Stegostoma tigrinum: one gene and its partner. The protein of the gene in region 2 purifies or fractionates together with the protein of the main gene of each other region. This does not show direct contact. Links are inferred from orthologs where the notes say so. Each region holds a gene or a part of one and is shown on either strand. Other genes may lie near its edges.

Region 1 (7,878 bases), on a different chromosome or scaffold from region 2:
CTATGGTTACTCAGCATTCCAGAGTCCTTTACCTATGACAATGCCCAGCATGCTTAAACACAGCTGTGCAGATTCCCCCATTCCTTATCTATATATGGTTATACAATTACCAAACTTACATCTATGGGTACCCAGCATTCCAGACTCCTACATATGACAAAATGTACCACATACCTATACACAGTTATATACTCACCGCATCCATTATATATTTACAGTTGCACAACCTCCCAGACCTATATCTATAGTTACCCAGTGTTCCAAACTCCAATATATATAGTACATTACAGCACAGTACAGGCCCTTTGGCCCTCGATGTTGTGCTGACCTGTCATACCGATCTCAAGCCCATCTTAACCTACACTATTCCACGTACATCCATATGCTTGTCCAATGACGACTTAAATGTACCTAAAGTTGGCGAATCTACTACCATTGCAGGCAAAGCGTTCCATTCCCTTACTACTCTGAGTAAAGAAACTACCTCTGACATCTGTCCTATATCTTTCACCCCTCAATTTAAAGCTATGCCCCCTCGTGCTCGCCGTCACCATCCGAGGAAAAAGGCTCTCCCTATCCACCCTATCTAACCCTCTGATTATTTTATATGTTTCAATTAAGTCACCTCTCAACCTTCTTCTCTCTCATGAAAACAGCCTCAAGTCCCTCAGCCTTTCCTCATAAGACCTCCCCTCCATACCATCTCCTGCAATTTTAAATTGCAAACTAAAAATTCACTTCAATTGTCGAGATTTTGGACAATATGCTTACGAATAAACACACTCAGCAGCAACATTAGAATAACTTGCAGCTTGCTCCATGCATGCATTACAAAATTAACCCTACTTAAAAAAAGTTTAAATATATGTGAAGCCAAAACTTAGGTGCAACGATACACTCATTATCAACATGCTATGTCATGAATGCAGTATTATGGAGCTAATGGATAAGTGGAATGGGAACTTATACAGGCAGACTGAAGAGTAGGAAACATGAACAAAAACAAAAAAAAGATGAGAAGACAGAAAATTCAAGGGCAGGTATCAAGGCCAAACTGTGCAAAACACAAACAGGACAAAGTGCACTAAAAAGACAAATATTACGACCTTATGTTTTAATGCATGAAGCATTCATAATAAAGTGGATGATTTGGTCATGCAAATAGATATAAACAGGTATGATGTAGCTGTGACGACAGAGATAGAACATAGAACATTGAAAACTACCGCACAGTACAGGCCCTTCGGCCCACGATGTTGTGCCGTGGAATATTCCTAATCCAAAAATAAAATAACCCAACCTACATTCCCCTCAATTCACTGCTGTCCATGTGCATGTCCAGCAGTCACTTAAATGTCACTAACGACTCCGCTTCCACGACTACCTTTGGTAAACTATTCCATGCGCTCACAACTCTCTGGGTGAAGAACCTCCCTCTGACATCTCCTCTATACCTTCCTCTAAACACCTTAAAACCATGACCCCTCATGGCAGTCAATCCTGCCCTGGGGAAAGGTCTCCAGCTGTCGACTCTATCCATGCCTCTCACTACCTTGTCCACCTCGATCAGGTCACCTCTCTTCCTCCTTCTCTCCAGAGAGAAAAGTCCCATCTCAGTCAACCTCTCCTCCTAAGACAAGCCCTCCAGTCCAGGCAGCATCCTGGTAAACCTCCTTTGCACCCTCTCCAAAGCCTCCACAACTTTCCTATAATAGGGTGACCAGAACTGGACACAATATTCCAAGTGTGGTCTCACCAGGGTTTTGTAGAGCTGCAGCATAACCTCGCAGCTCTTAAACTCGATCCCCCTGTTAATGAAAGCCAAAACACCATATGCGTTCTTAACAACCTTATCCACCTGGGTGGCAACTTTGAGGGAGCTGTGCACTTGAACACCAAGATCCCGCTGTTCCTCCACACTGTCAAGAATCCTGCCTTTAATCCTATATTCAGCATTTAAGTTCGACCTTCCAAAACGCATCACTTCACATTTATCCAGGTTGAACGCCATCTGCCATTTCTCAGCCCAGCTCTGCATTCTGTCAACGTCCCGCTGAAGCCTGCAATGGCCCTCGATACGATCAACGGCACCTCCAACCTTTGTGTCATCAGCAAACATGCTAACCCGCCCCTCAACCTCCTCATCCAAGTCATTTATAAAAACTACAAAGAGCAGAGGCCCAAGAACAGAACCCTGTGGGACACCACTCAGCACTGACCTCCAAGCAGAATACTAACCATCTACAACCATTCTCTGCCTCCTGTCAGCCAACCAATTGTGAATCCAGACAGCCAAATCACCCTGTATCCCATACCTCCTGACTTTTTGAATGAGCCTGCCATGGGGAAACTTATCAAAATGCCTTGCTGAAGAAGTCCATGCACACCACATCTACTGCTCGACCCTCGTCAACTTGTCTCGTGACTTCCTCAAAGAACTCAATAAGATTTGAGAGGCATGGCCTGCCCCTCACAAAGCCATGCTGACTCCCTTTAATCACGCTATGCTTTACCAAATAGTCATAAATCCTATCCCTCAGACTTCTTTCCAAAACCTTGCTGACCACAGACTTAAGATATGGTTGCAAATGACCTGGGATGGGACTGAACATCCAACGGTAATAACCATTTTTATTAAGGGCTGACAAATAGGAAAAAAGATGAGCGCTGCTCATTTTTAGGAGGGAATTAACTCAATGCTGAGGAAGGATTCTAACTCCCATGAAATGGAATCTGTACAGGTAAAGCTCAGAAACACCAAGGGGCAGAAAACAGTTGCATATAGATCGGCAAACTGTACTGGTGATGTTGGGAAAGGCATTAAACAGGTAATTAGAGAGAGATCTAAGCAATAAAAAGGTACAACTGTATTTATGGGCAACTTTCATCTGATTACAAATTGTGGTCTTGTTTCTGAATTCATTAGTGCAGAGCAGGAATTCCTGAAGAAGATGGAATTAAAGACTGATAAATCCAAACGGGGCCCAGAGATCTACACTTTAGAAAGTGGCACAACAAATTGTCCATGCACGAACAAGAATCTTTTAGAGATTCTATAGACTCGAACAGTTCCTCTAAATTTGGAGTGTAGATAATGTAATCCCCCTATTTAAACAGAGAAAAAAGGGAATTACGGGCTAATTTGCCCAACATCGGTACTGGGAGAAATGCTCAAGTCCTTTATGCAATATTTAATAATGGAGCATGTGCGAAAGAAAATTTATGCTTGACAAATCTATTGGAGTTTCTTTGGAGGATGTAATTAAGAGAGTTGGTAAAGGTAAGCCAGTGAATCTGGTGCAGTTTGACTTTCAGGCGTTCGCACCAAGGTCCCACTCAGAGATTAACATGTAAAATTCAAGTGCATTGATGACTGCAAATTGCTCAGCAGCATTCATGACTCGTCAGGTGCCTATTCCCAAACGCACCTCACCAGCCTAAGCTGAGCTGTTAAGTGGCAAGAAAAATTTGAACACCAAGCAGAATTAATTCCTGCTCTATGATGAATGTGTTACACAGAGCGCATTAATGCTCCGCAGCTCAATCCAGGAAGGGTCTCGACCCGAAACGTCAGCTTTCCTGCTCCTCTGATGCTGCTTGGCCTGCTATGTCCATCCAGCTCTACAGCCTGTTGTCTCAGATTCTCCAGCATCGGCAGTTCCTACCATCTCTCGCATCTTTTTATGATGTTTTCAAAACTTCCTCCTCAAAGGCCTCTCCTTCAGCACCAGAATTATTGATCCAATCATTGGAAACGTGAACATCAGTTTCTTTTGCTGACCAACATTTCCTACAAGACCCTAGGCTTGCCCTCTCAATTCTCATGCTCGTCAGGATCAGGTTCCGTAATTATAATGGTAACATGATTCTACTTCTCCACATCATCTCTTGACGTTTTACTTCCTTTCTGGCCCATATGTTCCATATTTCTACTAAACTCCGAGTGGAAAAAGTTTTTCCTCACATCTCCTGTCAATCACTTATTCCTCACAGTAAAGTTACGTCCTTTGGCTTTAAACAAGTTTCCCACAGGGAAATGATTCTCACAATCTACTGTCTATTCATCTCAATTTTGTGTACTTCTATCACACCCCACTCAGCCTCCTGAGGTATCTACCATTCATGATATATATTGTTCCATTATTACTCACAAAAATCCTTCCCTTTGTCCTGATCAGTGTGTGATGTACTAAATTTCATCTGCCATTGTCAGACTCATGTACCAGCCGATCAATATCAGACTGCAGCCCGAGACCCTCACAATCGGCAATATCACCAATTTTATGTCATCTGCAAACTTACTGATGAGACTTTGGGCATTTGCAACCATTATATGACATAGTATACCACATTCCTAAATACACTACCCCATGCCTTCTGTATTTAAAGTTGCACAACCTCCCAGATTTATATCTATAGTCACCCCATGTTCCCAACTCCAACACATATAACATAACGTACCACACATCAACATACAGTCCCCCACGCCTTATATATTTACGGTTACAAAACCTCCCAGGCCTATACCTATAAGTTACCAAGTGCTCTAGGTTCCTATATAAATATATACGTGTCAGTTCCTTATTTATAGTTAGACTCACGGGAGCTATATAGATAAGAGATAACACGGTGTGGAGCTGGATGAACACAGCAGCATCAGAGGAGCGGCTGAGGTTTCGGGCCTAGACCCTCCTTCAGAGCTGGGGAAGGGGGATCTGAAGTAAATAGGGAGATCACAGTCACATCCTACCTGCCGCTCCCCAGCTCCAGGCCGCGGTGCACCACGTGCTTCCCCCCGCCCCGGCACCATGTAACCTCTGACCCCGCTGACCCCACCCTCCTCCCCGCAGCCAATCAACATGAAGCCGAACGGAGGCGCCAAAGCAGCGGCGGCGCCGTGAGGAGAGGCCCCGAGCCCGGGCCCGGAGCCCAGCGCGAACCCGAGGGCGGCCTGAGGCCTGGGCCGTGTTCCTTGTCGGCACACACACACACCCCCCCCGTCCGCTGTGGGAGCCAGGCCGTCATGCAGTAAGTTCCCGGTCTCGGGGCTGGGGGTGGTGCGGGGCGAACGGATCGGCTTCGGGCCTAAGGGAGGCGGGATCGGGTAAAGACCACCCCCCCCTCTCCCCAACCGGGAAACTTACCCTCTACCCGACCCACACCCCCCCTTCCAGAAACATCTCCCGTTTCCCCCCCGCTCCCATCCTGCCTCCCCCGCTCCCTATCCCCTGCCCCATCTCTTGTTCTCCCCCGTTCCCCACCTTCATTTGTCTCCCTACACCAAACCCATCTCCTCCCACTCCCCATCTCTCCTTTTCTCCTAATCGTTCCGCAAGACTCCCACACACCCCAGCCGCAATCATCTCCCTTCACCACCCACATCCTTGCACAGTGGGCGGAAAAGTACTGTTTCAGTTGAGTCTGCAGTTTCAAACCAAAAGTTTTGTTTTGTGCCGCTCAGGATATTGGTGAGCGGAGAAATGGTAATGATGGCTTAGTCGCCTGGACAATGTGACTGGCACAAAAGATACTTTAATAAAGTCTAAGTTACTGTGGATGCTGGAAATCTAAAACAAGCATAGAAAACGCTGTTGAAACTCAGTAGATTTGGCACATCTGTGGGGAGAGGAGCAGAGTCAACATTACAAAACATTAACTCTACTTCCTTCTCCACTGATGCTGCCAGACCTGCTGAATTTCAACAGCATTATCCATTGGTTATAAACGATACTGTTCTTCATTGATCTTATTTCATGTTGATAATTAGACCATGAAACGTGTACGTACAGAACAGATTCAGACAGCAGTGGCTCTCTACCTCCGAAGAAGACAATATGTTGACTCTGATGGAGCGCTGAAGCAAGGACCCAAGTTTTCTCAAACTGCAGAAGAAATGGCAACTAACTTAACAGGTACATCGAAGATAAATTTGAGCAAAAACATGAATCATTGCATCTATTTTATGGATCAGATGTCAGCAACAAGCTGGACAGAGTAAAGCTCCTCATTTAATATGTGGATAGGGTGACATTAAGTGAATGTAAAGAGGCCAGTGTAAAGTGTACACTGGTTGGGAACATCAGAAATAAGTGCAGAATTAGACTGTATGTCTCCGCAAACCTGGTCCAACATCAAAAAGATCAAAGCTGATCCTTTGATAATAAAGTGTGAAGCTGGATGAACACAGCAGGCCAAGCAGCATCTCAGGAGCACAAAAGCTGATGTTTCGGGCCTAGACCCTTCATCGGAGAGGGGGATGGGGTGAGGGTTCTGGAATAAATAGGGAGAGACGGGGAGGCGGACCAAAGATTGAGAGAAAAGAAGATAGGTGGAGAGTAGAGTATAGGTGGGGAGGTAGGGAGGGGATAGGTCAGTCCAGGGAAGACGGACAGGTCAAGGAGGTGGGATGAGGTTAGTAGGTAGGAAAGGGAGGTGAGGCTTGGGGTGGGAGGAAGGGATAGGTGAGAGGAAGAACAGGTTAGGGAGGCAGAGACAGGCTGGGCTGGTTTTGGGATGCAGTGGGTGGAGGGGAAGAGCTGGGCTGGTTATGTGGTGCAGTGGGGAAGGGGAGATTTTGAAGCTGGTGAAGTCCACATTGATACCATTGGGCTGCAGGGTTCCCAAGCGGAACACGAGTTGCTGTTCCTGCAACCTTCGGATGGCATTATTGTGGCACTGCAGGTGGCCCGTGATGGACATGTCATCTAAAGAATGGGATGGGGAGTTGAAATGGTTCGCGACTGGGAGGTGCAGTTGTTTGTTGCGAACTGAGCAGAGGTGTTCTGCAAAGCGGTCCCCAAGTCTCTGCTTGGTTTCCCCAAAGTAGAGGAAGCCACACCGGGCACAATGGATATAGTATACCACATTGGCAGATGTGCAGGTGAACCTCTGCTTAATATGGAAACAATGCCACAATGATGCCCCCCGAAGGTTGCAAGAACAGCAACTCATTCCACTTGGGAACCCTGCAGCCCAATGGTATCAATGTGGACTTCACCAGCTTCAAAATCTCCCCTTCCCCCACCGCATCCCAAAACCAGCCCAATTCATCCCATCCCCCCGACTGCATCCCAAAACCAGCCCAGCCTGTCTCTGCCTCCCTAACCTGTTCTTCCTCTCACCCATCCCTTCCTCCCACCCCAAGCCGCACCTCCCTTTCCTACCTACTAACCTCATCCCACCTCCTTGACCTGTCCGTCTTCCCTGGACTGACCTATCCCCTCCCTACCTCCCCACCTATACTCTACTCTCCACGTACCTTCTTTTCTCTCCATCTTCGGTCCGCCTCCCCGTCTCTCCCTATTTATTCCAGAACCCTCACCCCATCCCCCTCTCTGATGAAGGGTCTAGGCCCGAAACGTCAGCTTTTGTGCTCCTGAGATGCTGCTTGGCCTGCTGTGTTCATACAGCTTCACACTTTATTATCTTGGATTCTCCAGCATCTGCAGTTCCCATTATCACTAAAGCTGATCCTTTACCTCAATTACGTTTTCCTGCACTATCTCTACACTACACCCCATCCCTCGATGTCTTTAATGTCTGAAAATCTATCAGTCAATTCCTGTCAATGACTGAGCCTCCATAGCTCTCTGGGATTGGAAATTCAAATAATTACAAAAGACCTGTTTCACTGCTGTAAAACTTGTAACCATCTCCGACCTTTAAGGCAAGGTCTGGAGGGAGGAGTAGCAATTGGACCAGTTTGCCTTGGTTCAAGATATGGGGTGGCACGGTGGTACAGTGGTTAACACTGCTGCCTCACGGTGCCAGGGACCCGGGTTCAATTCCACCCATGGGCAACTGGTTGTGTGGTGTCTGAGTGGGTTTCCTCCGGTTTCCTGAGTAGTTTTTGCAGACAGGAGGGTGATTTCAGAAGGC
Region 2 (7,753 bases):
CTGGGAGATAGTACACACTGCTGCTACTGTGTGTTGGTGGTGGAGGGTATAGATTTTTGTGGATATGGTATCAATCAAGTGGGTTGCTTCCTGAAGTTGATCTCATTCGGGCAAGTGGGAATGTTTCATCACAGTCCTGACTCGTGCCTTGTAGGTGGTTGACAGGCTTTGGGGAGTCAGGAGGTGAGCTATTCACTGCAGTATTCCTAGGCTCTGGGCTGCCCTTGTAGCTACTATTATATGGTGAGTCCAGTTGAGATTCTGGTCAATGGTAACTCCTAGGATGTTGACTGTGAGGGATTCAGTGATAGTAACGCCATTGAGTAACAAGGGGCAGTGGATGGATTTCCTCTTATTGGAAATGATCATTGCCTGGCATTTGTGTGGAGCAAATAATACTTGCCACTTTTCAGCCCAAGCCTGTTGCATTTGGGCATGGACGTACTCAATATCTGATGAGTCACAAATGGTGCTGAACAATGTGTAATCATCAGCAAACATCCCCATTACTGATATTATAATGGACAATAGGTTATTAATTAAGCAGCTAAAGATGTTTGGACTTAGGACAGAACTCTGAGGAATTCCTGCAGAGATGTCCTGGGGCTGAGATGACTGACCTCCAACAACTACAACCTTCTTCCGAACAACCCATGGTACACTTAGATATACCCTTGGCCCTTCCCTCTCCCAACCCCACCTCTTATGGTGTATTTATTATCCCTCCTGACCTTCCGTTGTCCAATGCTGAACATTCCATACTCAGCAAAGGTCTCAGTTTTATCCTCTTTGTCCCCACTTGAATGAATTTTGGGCATGACATGATGGATCAGTTCTGAGGAAGGGTCACTGGGCCCAAAACAATAACTCTGATTTCCCTCCGCAGATGCTGCCAGACCTGCTGAGCTTTTCCAGCAATTTCTGTTTTCACCTCTAGCTGTGTGCCCAGGTGTGACTCCAGAAAAGTCAGTAGAGACTTTTCCCCCTAATTCCCAATGACATCAACTTTTGCAAAGGCTCTTTGATGCCATACTCAGTCTAATGTAGCCTTGGGCTGTCACTGCCGCCTCACCTCTAAAATTCACTTTTTTTCCCCCTATTCTAAACAAGGCTGTAATGAGGTCAGGAGCTGAGTGGCCTTAGTGAAACTCAAACTGGGCATCACTGAGCTGGTTCTTGCTGGGCAGGTATTGCTTTACAGTATTGTTGATAACACTTTCCATCAGTTTACTAATGATAAGTAGTAAACTGATGGAGCAGTAATTAGCCAGGTTGTATTTGGCCAGCTTTTATGTGTACAGGACTTTCCTTGGCAATTTCCAATGTTGTCGAGCAGATGCCAGTGTTGTAGCTGGAAGACTTACCCTATGATGTACTGAAATTCTGCCTCTGTGCTATATCAGAAATGGGAAAAGTATCACATCTGGATTTAAAAGAATTGGATTAAATAGGATCAAATCCTTGTGGGCTACAAGTTCTTGTTAACCTGTCATATCCCATCCTGCTTCCCAGTGAACATTGGATTATTTGTGCCATTGAGTTCGGGAATTGCAGATCCATAGTTTCTGTTTTCCAGCGCCAAATATTCTGAATGAAATCTTGCAATTTCCTCATTTATGAATATTACTTCTACTGTATAATTTTTCTGATATTTGTAAATTCAGTTTGTTGTTGCTCAAGTCCTTCACGTCAAATCATTTCCTATATGGAAGGAAGTTGAAGCAGAACTGAATAAATTGAAAAAAAAACTGGCACACAAGTAACTGAAATTGCAGATGATATAACACTTGGTTATTTCTTCCAGTAATCATCCCAAATTCTGGGAATTCACATGATTCTTAAACAAGATTATTACAAAAATAAACTGATTATAGACATAGGCATAGTCCTGTTCAATGTCATTGCAAATTCCTGAAGTTTATAAAGTTTATAAAACTGTGAGAGGCAGAGACAGGTTTGAGAGTCAGAATCTTTTTCCCAGAATTGAAATGTTTAACACTAGAGGGCATGCAATTAAGCTAAGAGGGGGAAAGTTCAAAGGAGGTGTGAGTTTTTTTTTATACATAGTGGGAGGAGTCTGGTCCGCACTGCCAGGGGTAGTGGTGGAGGCAGATATGATAGCGGGATTTAAGCGGCTTTTAGATAAGCACATGAATAAACAAGGAATGGGGAATATGTACCACAGGCGGGCAGAAGGGATTAGTTTAATTTGGCGTCATGTTCAGCACAACAGTGTGGGCCAACGAGCCTCTTCATGTGTTGTACCATTCTATGTTATAGTCAATGATTAAAGAATCATTGAAGACACAGGATCTGGTGTTATGATCGTAGGGAAGGGTGGGATGAATGATAACATTAGTTAGGTTTGGGGATGACAAACTACTTGTAGCAAGAGCAAAAGAACTGTTACAAGTACTTACAGACTGGTAACAGGAGGTAGGAACATTGGAATGAAAATGAATATTGGCAAACAAAAGAAATACCAAATTTCAAAATAACCAAGAAATGTTTATGAATTCATAGAACAACTGAAAGGCTTCAGGTATTCATGAAGCATAATATCTGCAGATGGCAAATGCAACAAAGAAATCTAAACAAGAATAACATTGGGAAAGCCTATATTTTGTAAGGAGAGACAATTGGTAACTGGAAAACAACGAATTACTCAAAAAACCCTTGTGAGAGTTTGATTTGGAATGTTGTTTTGCATTGATACAAAGCATGGACTTTATGGAAGGAGGAGACCTACTTGATAAATAGTTTTAAAGTCTTAGTTTGGAGGAGAATGGAATCGATCTATTGGATAGAAAAAGCAAGTGCTAAGTTTGTGTGCAGTATGAATCAACAAGAAGTTATTGAATGTAATTATGAAAAGGCCGGGTAAGGCATAGTTTAGGAAGAAACAGACTTGTATGAGATGTTATGGAGAGAAAATATCACGGAAAAAAAAGAGTAAGGGAGAGAATATCAATGTGAGATGGCTTGAAAATTAAAGTAAATTATTGTCAAATGAAAATATTGGAACAAAGTAGAATGATGCAGAAAGATTATAAAGAGCCAAGGTTGTGCCTTTGGTAGAGCGCACCTGATGATGATGATGAAACTGACTGTATGTATTTTCTAAGCTGAACTTAAAATCTAGTTATCACTGGCAAGAAATCAATGACAAGAGCTGCTGAACTACAATCAACATGAGGGGTGCTAATGAGTCTTGTGATTATTGAGTATGGTGACCTCATAGTTATGGCACTGAACTAGGTAATATATACAAATACTAGGAAAATTGTGAATTAAGTTTGTACTATGGCAAACTAGTTTCAGCGAATTCTGAAAGCTGCTGGACTACTGCAAAACTCCAACTGATTCACTGGATTGAATAAAATAGGTGTTGGGTTCTGACAAGGGGACTATATGCTGGTCTTAAACCCAAGAATATATGAGGTCTGCTCACCTGCACCATTATCCAACTGTTGGCCAAAAACAATCTTTCTGTGAGAGCTTTGTCCAATTAGGGATGGAAGGAGGACTGTTGAAGCAGGGAGTCCCCACTGACGGAGGTGACTTTCCAATGCATGAAGGAGACCTTGAGAATGCCTCAAAATGAAGGCATCCTCTGTAGGCTTGGAAAACGTTTAAAATAAAGTGTGACTAAATCTGCTGGGTCATCATTGTGGAGGTGGAGTTCCTAAACATGATGACATGCAGTCATGGCTGTAGACCGTCCTCCACGAAATTCCTGCAAGAAACTTGCTGACGTTCTTGCTTTGCAACCTACCTCCACCCCATGGAATAATCCACCCTCTAAAACAGAACTCCTCTCTGGTTTAATTTACATGTGCCTTCACAGTTGACTTTAATTGCTTAGCACATTACTGAACAATAAAAACAATTTTTTGAGATAACTGGGATTGGGCACAAAATGCAACTTTATCAATGTCATTCATCGAAGAAGAAAGTTTTAAACAACTATCTATATTGCTGTTCAATACAATTTGACCAGAGAAAACATACATTTGGAACCATATCCATTGGTCAACGAATAGTAAATAAAATTTACTGATGGTGGAAAAACAAACTAAGCAATTCGGGACTGTGCTGATATTACAGAAATTAAAGATTACAAACTATCCAGGTTTTCAGTTGAATTGCTGGGGTATATTTTAAATTCTATTTTGCATTATGTCCATAGCCTCAGAAAATTTGTAGTTTGTAATAAACTTTTTTTTGCTAAAGAAGCTTTCCATGTCTAAACGTTAGGTCTGTCTTAGCACTTCCTTTTTTAAAAATGTCATATCTGCAGCGCCCACAGTCTTTTGCTTTTATAATGTTGTTTGTTAAATCCGGAGGCAGTACTGAACAATGCCAATTGAACGCACAAGCTTAACGTACTTGGTATAAACAGCCTTAAGAAGGCGCCTCATGTTGAACTAATACAAGCAAAACAACATAAAAGACCAAACCAGTAAGTTATGTTCATTCCTGGCAATTATTATCAGTTTTAAGCAGGTTGATCTCTTGGAGCTGAGTGAAGAAATGTTTAACTGCGCTGCTTGTTTATTTATCCTTTGATTGTCATTGTGTTAGTGTTTCCAGTATGCAGCCATAAATTTTCTTTTGACATGTTGCTTTCTTTTTCTCATTTGAAGTGAATTGAATAAAAATAAGCCAACAGCTGTGTCAGTTTGTGCTCTGTACCGCCCCTGGCGGGGTGCTGCTAAACGCCGTGGACTACATAGTGTACAGGGAGGCAGGGCAATGAGTGAGCTGCCACCACCAGCACCACCGCTGTGGTCACCATTCCAGCCCGGATCACTTCCTTAAAAAAAAGCACAACACAGCTCTGCACGTACAGAGCAGCTGGGAGCCATGGCGGAGAGTGGCGGCGGTGGTGGAGGAGGAGGAGTAGCCGGGTTGCAGCAGGGATCGCCGGCGGTCTGTGTCGTTTCCTCGGACTCGGTGCCTCCTGTGCCGGTGTCGCTGGCTCTGCCGGTTGTCAGCTGCGCCGCAGTTGCAGCGAGCGGCCGTTCCGCCGCCGCGGGAAGTCAGCAGCAGCAGCGGGAGAGGATTGCGCTGAGGAAGGCGCAGCTTCGCAACTACCCCCGGACAAAGAAGCTGGAAAAGCTCGGCGTCTATTCCGCCTGCAAGGTACCCACTGGAACCTGCTGATCTGAGCGCGGGGTGTGGGGGGCGAAACACGGGGCCCGGGCACCCCCAGCAAACAAACTGAAATCTCTTTTAAAACAGGCTCCTCTACGATGAAGTGACATGTCAGAATTAATTTTGTTTTGACTGTATTCGTGTCAGGTCGGCTTGTTTTGCAATAGGGGGCGGGTTTGTTTCGGTATCTGGCACTTATGTGTTGTAAACAATGTTAGGATCGCTACATGCTGTGTCACTTTCTAAAATTCGATGACAGGTTTTATGGTTGTAATGTCACACTCCTGTAATTTTCCCACCTACTGTTGTGGTAAGTCCTGGTGTTAAATGGTGTACTATGAATATTGTCAGAAAAAAGATCAGTTTGACTTTTAGCACTGGTGAAATGCCAAATCTTAGTTGTAAATTGCCAATTTTTGCTCAAAAAAGTGCAACTAAACATTGACCTCTTGTCAAATAATTTGATGTGTTTCTTTCTTTGACTTAGGAACTGTAATATACCTTGCACCCAGATGAAGTGGTGAAAACTGTAGTTTCATCACAGTGATTGTAGCATGTTGCCAAGTCCAGCTGACTGGCTGCATGTACAGCAGGAGGTCCCAGTATGGGCGAGGCTAGTGCACGATACAGCTTGCCTGCATATGTTCTTAAATAAAGTACCAAAGGAGCCGCAGCCTTGAGAGTCGGGCTCCCGGATCCTCTAGATGGAGACCTTAATTAAGAGGGTGAGAAGGAAGAGATGTCGTGTTTCCACAGAGGTCCGAAAGACTACACTACGATTGGAGTGGGAAGACCTAACCATGGAATCTTGCGCTGAAGACAAAAATGCAGTACCACATTCAGAACAGCAGTGGATACTTTGCTGTTATAGAACTTTGTCACATTGATTTTGTGCCTACTGCATGTGTCAGCAGCTTATGGGGCAAACCTGGTGAATGTACTTCAACCGAATGGCCACACGCTTATCAGTCAGGCAGTGTCAGCAGAGCCAGTCATAGGCATCAAGATAACCAAATGTGAAGCTGGATGAACACAGCAGGTGAAGCAGCATCTCAGGATCACAAAAGCTGTCGTTTCAGGCCTAGACCCTTCATCAGAGAGCATCGTCTGATCTCTGCTAGAGGCTTGGACTCAGTCAGTCAGCCATTTGGGGTATTCAGGGACAGGTGTTCCATGTCATTACAGTCAGGGGAGTGGACGTGGTCAGCCTGCTGAACCCGTTTAACCATGCTAGGAATTATTTAATAGAGAATCTGTTCAGCTCCATCAGGTGTCTAGTCACTCAGCAACCAAGGCTGTCTTTTGAAGGTGGCCAGGGATGTGTGCCACAGTCAGCCTGGGGTCTGTCCACTCAAAAACAAGATGTGGGGTGTTAATCAAAGATCATATGAAGAAGTCACAACAGAGGTACCCTCAGGATGTGGAGGAAATGCAGGAGATCTGTCTGTGTCGCCTCCACCAGATGAACAAGGGATGGTGCTAACACTGGATAACGATGTCCAAGGACACTATCACAGGATTATACCAAATATTGTATCGGGACATGCTACCTGATGGGTTGCGTAGCCATCCTATCCCAGTGGCTACTGTTTCGAAGCAGCCACTGCGGACTTGTATAGAATCTCAAATCTTAACCCACAAACATATTAAGGCTGTTAATGATGTTATAGGTGCAATATCACACCACTTCTTGCTTCAACGAAACCTACAGCACAGGATATAGATAGACTGGAGAGTTGGGCAGATGAATGGCAGATGGAGTTCAATCCGGGCAAATGCAAGGTGATGCATTTTGGAAGATCAAATTCAAGGGCGAACCATACAGTAAATGGAAAGGTCCTAGGGAAAATTGATGAACAGGAAAATCTGAGTGTTCAGGTCCATTGTTCCCTGAAGGTGACAACGCAGGTCAATAGGGTGGTCAAGAAGCTATATGGCATGCTTTCCTTCATTGGACAGGGTATTGAGTACAAGAGTTGGCAGGTCATGTTGCAGTTGTATAGGACTTTGGTTCCGCCACATTTGGAGTACTATGTACAGTTCTGGTCGCCACATTACCAAAAGGATGTGGGTGCTTTGGAGAGGGTGCAGAGGAGGTTCACCAGGATGTTGCCTGGTATGGAGGGTGCGAGCTATGAAGAGAGGTTGAATAGATTAGGATTATTTTCATTAGAAAGACAGAGATTGAGGGGGGACCTGATTGAGGTCTACAAAATCATGAGGGGTATAGACAGGGTGGATAGCAAGAAGCTTTTTCCCAGAGTGGGGCACTCAATTACTAGGGGTCATGAGTTCAAAGTGAGAGGAGGAAAGTTTAAGGGAGATATGCGTGGAAAGTTCTTTACACAGAGGGTGGTTGGCGCCTGGAATGCGTTGGCAGTGGAGGTGGTAGACGCAGACACGTTAGCGTCTTTTAAGATATATTTGGACAGGTACATGGATGGCCAGGGAGCAAATGAACACAGACCGTTAGAAAATAGATGACAGGTTAGACAGAGGATCTTGATCGGCGCAGGCTTGGAGGGCCGAAGGGCCTGTTCCTGTGCTGTAGGTTTCTTTGGTTCACATAGTACCAGGCACCCTGGAATTTGTCGTG

The links. Proteins that work in one complex are often made in the same cells at the same time.
Region 1: the proteins of kat2b (region 2) and taf5l purify together in Homo sapiens (affinity purification with mass spectrometry; 5 studies listed by BioGRID and IntAct, with this or other methods). This does not show direct contact. The link is inferred for Stegostoma tigrinum from reciprocal best matches to the Homo sapiens genes KAT2B and TAF5L.

The regions. Positions count from the first base shown.
Region 1 is NC_081362.1:15,605,730-15,613,607, reverse strand, and holds the start of taf5l (TAF5-like RNA polymerase II p300/CBP-associated factor-associated factor 65 kDa subunit 5L), read left to right. Parts: upstream 1-4,858; 5' UTR 4,859-5,028; intron 5,029-5,261; coding exon of another isoform or gene 5,262-5,267; exon of another isoform or gene 5,268-5,302; intron 5,303-5,767; 5' UTR 5,768-5,770; coding exon 5,771-5,912; intron 5,913-7,878. UniProt on the Homo sapiens protein: Functions as a component of the PCAF complex. The PCAF complex is capable of efficiently acetylating histones in a nucleosomal context. The PCAF complex could be considered as the human version of the yeast SAGA complex.
Region 2 is NC_081355.1:106,167,747-106,175,499, forward strand, and holds the start of kat2b (histone acetyltransferase KAT2B), read left to right. Parts: upstream 1-4,734; 5' UTR 4,735-4,866; coding exon 4,867-5,145; intron 5,146-7,753. UniProt on the Homo sapiens protein: Functions as a histone acetyltransferase (HAT) to promote transcriptional activation. Has significant histone acetyltransferase activity with core histones (H3 and H4), and also with nucleosome core particles.